Rattus norvegicus: one gene and its partner. The protein of the gene in region 1 binds, or shares a complex with, the protein of each later gene. Links are inferred from orthologs where the notes say so. Each region holds a gene or a part of one and is shown in the gene's direction. Other genes may lie near its edges. The genes, in order: Tjp1 and Gjc1.

The links.
Region 2: the proteins of Tjp1 (region 1) and Gjc1 are in contact, whole or in part, in a crystal structure (PDB 3SHW), measured with the Homo sapiens proteins. The link is inferred for Rattus norvegicus from reciprocal best matches to the Homo sapiens genes TJP1 and GJC1. Residues at the interface, in NP_003248.3 of Homo sapiens: Lys429, Ser432, Val433, Gly434, Leu435, Arg436, Leu437, Gly449, Val450, Leu451, Val484, Leu487, Leu488, Leu549, Asn551, Gly552, Lys553; in NP_001073852.1 of Homo sapiens: Lys391, Thr392, Ser393, Val394, Trp395, Ile396.

What each region holds. Positions count from the first base shown.
Region 1 is NC_086019.1:128,273,050-128,276,877, reverse strand, and holds part of Tjp1 (tight junction protein ZO-1), read left to right. Parts: intron 1-377; coding exon 378-605; intron 606-3,828. UniProt on the Homo sapiens protein: TJP1, TJP2, and TJP3 are closely related scaffolding proteins that link tight junction (TJ) transmembrane proteins such as claudins, junctional adhesion molecules, and occludin to the actin cytoskeleton.
Region 2 is NC_086028.1:88,262,565-88,265,142, reverse strand, and holds the end of Gjc1 (gap junction gamma-1 protein), read left to right. Parts: intron 1-694; 5' UTR 695-714; coding exon 715-1,905; downstream 1,906-2,578. UniProt on the Homo sapiens protein: One gap junction consists of a cluster of closely packed pairs of transmembrane channels, the connexons, through which materials of low MW diffuse from one cell to a neighboring cell.

The sequences.
Region 1 (3,828 bases):
GATATGGTTCTCCAGAACTGATTTCTTTCTTCTTTAATTGCTTCTCACCTGCTGTGAAACACCTTAACAAACAAGCACTGAGTCTGCTAAATTCTACTAGAAAACTCCTGAGGCAAAGGAAGCCTACATTTGCATGTATAGCATGAATATGCTATTTTAGAAGATACATGCTGACTATGCCATTAAAGCCCAAATAGTCATAACTGTCAGTAAAAAGATGAAAGTCCAAAACAAAACTAGACCAATCTTGAAGAACAGTACCTGACATTGGCCTACGCACACAGACAAAAGGGGGGAATCAAGATAGGATTAGATTTTTATGTTCCATTGTCTTTGTAAAATTAGCTCCTAAAAATCATTTTGTTCCTCATTATCAGGCTCCCAGAGCCTCAGAAACCTCAAGCGAAGCCACCTGAAGATATTGTTCGATCAAATCATTACGATCCTGAAGAGGATGAAGAGTATTACCGGAAACAGCTCTCTTACTTTGACCGGAGAAGTTTCGAGAGCAAGCCTCCTGCACATATTCCTGCTGGCCATCACTCAGAGCCTGCCAAGCCAGTCCATTCTCAGAGTCAGCCGAATTTCTCTAGTTATTCTTCAAAGTAAGTTGTTTCATCTGACTCACCTAAGAGAAACAAGCGGTGGACTTGCATAATGTAGAGTTCCAAGTTCTAAGGAAACTGGGTGCAGTATGTAGCTGCACATTGTGCTGCTTTCTAGAGGCTGTAACTCCTGGTTTTTACTCTTAACCCTAACATCAGATACACAGAGTTTTGATGTAGGGAAAGTTGCTAAAAGCAAGAGTTTTGATGAAGAATGAGCTTAAGACCCTCAAGTTAAGATGAGTCTTCAGTCTCTCCATAGGGAGACAAACTGAGTGATAATCCTTTTCTTATTTTGTTTTTGTCTTTAAGACATACACCTAGGTAGGTGAGAGGGTCACAGGGAACACTCAGGTATTTTTTGGTCTTGGTTTCACAGAGGTGAGATAAGCTGCCTTTTTCTTTATTTTTCAAACACAGAGTGTTTGTAGAGTTTTGTAGTCAGGCTTTATAGATGATCAGGTGAAAATGAAATGACAGGTTTCTTGATTCTCAGTTTTTTCCTGTCTGCTTCTCTCTTCTTTTGTGACTTCTGTATTGGTGCACTTTTTTCTTGCGCCTGGTAGATTAGTGCTTCCTGCTGCTGGTACATCGCTGCGTGGATCCTCACAGAGTTTGGGACTGAGCGTTGGGTATGATCCAACACAGGCACCAATGGGCTCATACTCCACAAATCAAGACCAATAGAAACAAAAACAGATGGATTTTGTCACAAAGAATTTGTTTATAAAATTATGGGAGCTGCCCAAACAAATCCTAAAATGGTCTGGAGAGCAAAATCCAAGAGGTACTTGGGGGCCTCTAAATTCAGGGAAGGACTACATTCTTTACCTGATAAATTTAAGAGGCGAGAGGCATCCATTTTAGCTGAAAACCCATTTCTAGTGCACCACCCTGCTTAGTCACTATAAGTAAATGGAACTGTGGCTTGGGCATAAGATGTGAGCTTTGTGCCCAAGATTAAAGCACGCACATTTTTACTAAACCTCAACTGTTAGGATTATGTGAAATTGTTATATAGTACTGAGTAAAATTCTTTTAGATTATATTTTAAAACTTGTAATATTAAAGATCCAATTTAGTTACTTCTGTTTTCTGAGATATCATTAGTAAAGATTTAGAACATCTTAGTCTCTTTAAATCTTTGTTTCTATTGAAGAAATCAGTTTGTGAGAAATGCTGATGCAGTCTTTGTACTGCAGTGGAGAATTGCATTAAATAATATATTTTTCTAGCACAACATTATACAGGTGCCTGGCAATATCTAGATAATCACTTAAGCTCAGGTTTTGGTAAGGCAAAGGGTATATTATATAGTAGTCATTTTATCTTTAAAAATAGTGTATATGAGTCTTTTGACAACATATATGCATGTGCACTTTATATGTGCCTGGTACCCACACAAACTAGAAGGGAGCATCAGATCCCTTGGAATTAGATTTAAATATGGTTACGAACCACTATGTGCCTGCTGGGAGCTGAGTCAGGGTCTTATATCAGAGCAGCAAGCACATGTAACTGCTGAGTCATTTCTTCAGCTCCATGTAGTCACTTATTTTAAATATATCTTTAAGAGATGAAACAAAATGCATTTATTTGTTTGGAAAAGGTGGGTGCACCACATTGTACCCATGAAGTTCATAGAAGAACTTTTGGGAGTTTGTTCCCTTCTTCACTATGAGAGTCTAGGTAGAGGGCGAATGGGAGGATCCAACCTCAGGTTGTCGGACTCAAAGTCAGTGCTTTCTTGCTGAGCCTTCCTCTTGGGCCCAGAGGTGATCACTTTTAAACTCATTAATTCCTGTTAGAAGAGGGCCAGGGTATTTAAAGAAATACTTTATAATGCCTTTTACATGCCTGATAAATAGGTTATATCCTTAAAAATACATTTATGCTGGGGCTTGAGAGATGGCTCAGTAGTTCTTCTAGAGGAATTCAGTTCCCAGCACCCACCTGGCAACTCACAACTGTCTGTAACAACAGTTGCAGGGGACCCGACCTCCTTACACAGACAAAGCACCAATGCTCATAAAATAAAATTTACAAAAATATATATGCCGCTGAATCAGATGGAAAGTCGTTCGTTTTTTGGCTTTTTGTTATTGTTGTTGGTTTGATTTTGAGACAGGGTCTCATATATTGCTGACTGTTCTAGCAGGCTGTCTCCAAATTCACAGAGATCTGCCTGCTCTGCCCAAGTGCTAGGATCAAATGCATGCACTACCAGGCCTGGCTTGAAAAGCACTTTTGATTTTATGTTAATTCAATTTTTTTTTAAAGAGTGAAAACTTAGTTATTGTGTTACATAACGTGCATCTGGGGTCTGGAACACTGTCTGGAACCCAGTATTTACTGATTTAATGGTGCTCACTCTGTAAAGAGTGCAGTGCTAGTTGTGTCAGACATCCACCCTACTGCTAATCACACAGGTCTGGGAGGAGCCTGTTCTAGTAATGGTTCTCACTGGAAGCTTTGCCATTGAAGTGTAGGGGTGGATTGGTGGCAGGTAGTACTTTGTTGTTGTTCATGTGACGTTGTTAAGGGAGAGAAGCTGTGAACGTGTCGTGAGTGTCAGCTTCACAAATAAGCATCCTCCCGCCACAGGATTCAGCTTTCTACAGCAGGGCTTGCTAGAAAAGAACAGAACATCATTGATCATGGCCATGTTTGAAAGGTCTGCATGTTTTCATTTGCCAATTCATCTTTATTAAGAGATCAGTATACCTGTCATGTCAATGTATGTCCTTTCTCCTGTCTTATGTCATTTCTTTTGCCCAACCTTTTTTTTTTTTTTTCCCAAAATTGGGCTTTACTTATTCATGATTTGTTGATTATTATTTGATAATTGCTTATTGTCTTACTTCATTACTTTCTCCTTTTTGTTACTATAGCAGAGTTATTCTGTATAGTCCAGGCTGGCCTCAAACTCACAGAGACATGCCTGCCTCTGCTGGAATTAAAGGCATGTGCTGCCACCATCCAGCAACTCTTCGCTTTCTCTTGTTTTTGAGTGCTGCTGGGTGTTGAGCCCTGAGGTGCGATAGGAAGTGCCCTACCGCTGAGCTGACCTTGTTCTGGCTCATTTCTCTGCTCACTGTTAGCTGCTGTGGCCTAGGCGACCAGAAGCTGAGGCTGAGGATACAGAGGGTGGAGGCAGCTAAGATATGTGGGGTGGAGGGGATGGTGTAACCAAGTTAATATGTGTTAATATTATTGCTGATTC
Region 2 (2,578 bases), on another chromosome or scaffold:
TAGCAGGGAGCACCCCTTGGTTCCTTTCTACTTAGTGCTCATCATTGGTTGTTTGCAGCTGCACCAGTCACTAATTACTTTTGGAAAAAACATTAAGGAGAGGGGCTCACTATGTATCTCTGGCTGTCCTGGAACAAACTTTGTAGACTAGACTGGCATTGGACTCAGATTGCCTTGTCTCTGTTTCCCAAGTGTTGGGATTAAAGGCGGATGTCACCACTCTTGGCTTCTTAATAACTTTTAACATTCTGTTACCTGCTTTAAAACTTAAGCTTTCTAGTAAACTGCCCTTCGTAATGGAGTCCAACCCAAGGGTCCCTTTTTAAAATGGTAAGCTCTATGACTGGACCAGAAAGCTACCCCAGTGTCTGGATGTCCAGAACACACTAAGTATGTAACACGGTGTGCTGCCTCTGAGACAGCGTCAGTGAAGTAGGAACAAACAAGACCGTGTGTGTGCAGGCATGGAGGACAGTGCTGCCTGGCCCCCAGCTGCTGCTGTGAGGGGCAGTGATAGTTGGATGTCTGTACGACTCTGAGTCTGCAATGGGAAACCTCTCAGGTTGCAGTGTCCCCAGAGATGCTATGAATTTACGTGGTTAGGGTTGGATTATCTGTGGGACTGGGCACCAAAAATAGACAACTATTTTTAGTGTTTGTTGATTTCCCCTGCTTGGTACTTTCCACCTTCCAGGGCAAACCAATTCCACCACCATGAGTTGGAGCTTCCTGACTCGCCTGCTAGAGGAGATACACAACCATTCGACGTTTGTAGGGAAGATCTGGCTCACTGTGCTGATTGTCTTTCGAATTGTCCTAACTGCGGTAGGAGGAGAGTCCATCTACTATGATGAGCAAAGCAAATTTGTGTGCAACACAGAGCAGCCGGGCTGTGAGAACGTCTGCTATGATGCCTTTGCCCCGCTCTCCCACGTGCGCTTCTGGGTATTCCAGATCATCCTGGTTGCTACTCCCTCTGTGATGTACCTGGGATATGCTATTCACAAGATTGCCAAAATGGAGCACGGCGAGGCAGACAAGAAGGCAGCTCGGAGCAAACCCTATGCCATGCGTTGGAAGCAGCACCGGGCTCTGGAAGAAACGGAAGAGGACCATGAAGAGGATCCTATGATGTACCCAGAGATGGAGTTAGAAAGCGAGAAAGAAAATAAAGAGCAGAGCCAACCAAAACCCAAGCATGATGGCCGCCGACGCATTCGTGAGGATGGGCTCATGAAAATCTATGTGTTGCAGCTGCTAGCCAGGACTGTGTTTGAGGTGGGCTTTCTCATAGGGCAGTATTTCCTGTATGGCTTCCAAGTACACCCATTTTATGTGTGCAGCAGACTTCCTTGTCCTCATAAGATAGACTGCTTTATTTCTAGACCCACTGAAAAGACCATCTTCCTTCTGATAATGTATGGTGTCACAGGCCTCTGCCTATTGCTTAACATTTGGGAGATGCTTCATCTAGGGTTTGGGACCATTCGAGACTCACTAAACAGTAAAAGGAGGGAACTTGATGATCCGGGTGCTTATAATTATCCTTTCACTTGGAATACACCATCTGCTCCCCCAGGCTATAACATTGCTGTCAAACCAGATCAAATCCAGTACACTGAGTTGTCCAATGCTAAGATTGCCTACAAGCAGAACAAAGCCAATATCGCCCAGGAGCAGCAGTACGGCAGCCACGAGGAGCACCTCCCGGCCGATCTGGAGACCCTGCAGCGGGAGATCAGAATGGCCCAGGAACGCTTGGATCTAGCAATCCAGGCCTACCATCACCAGAACAACCCCCATGGTCCTCGGGAAAAGAAGGCCAAAGTGGGGTCCAAATCTGGGTCCAACAAAAGCAGTATTAGTAGCAAATCAGGAGATGGGAAGACCTCCGTCTGGATTTAATCTTGGTTGGGCTTAAAGCTTGGGTTTCCATAGTTTATGGTAAGCAGCAACTTGCTGAATGATGACTCCCATTGAGTAAACATCTGGCTCTGGTTATCTTCAGGGATGCTGTTGGCTCGTGATCCAAACTCAGGGGACTGAAAGTGGATCTGGGATGAGTCCGGAGCGGGAAACACAGTGTTCCCAGGCACAGGTTCTCAGCAATAATGCAGTTGCAGAACTCTAAGCTGTGTCTTCCAGATCCGGAGAAGAACAGATATATTTAAATCATTCTTGTTGAACAGTTTTGTATGTACAGTATTATGGTACATTTTTTTTTAGTATGATAACTTTTTTGTATTTGTACATTGGACTGCTGTAGTTACACTTTTTTATATTAAAGGAAAAATCCTTGTAAATAATGTCTGTTAAAGGGCAATGTTATTACTTTGTTTAGCAAATATTATCTTGTGACTGGAGTTCTAGTAGATGGGACTTTAATAAAGTGCCTCTCGTGTTTCAGGAAAGATTTCAGATCCATAGGGAAGCCGAGGCAGAAACACCAGACTTGAAGTGTTTGGAAGAAGATCCCTGTTAGAGAGAGGTTGGAACCTTCCTTCTCCTGGAGAGATTTTGGAATCTCCTTCCTGTGACCAGAGTTGTGGCTGTTCTTGGAAAATATTTCCAAAGGAAG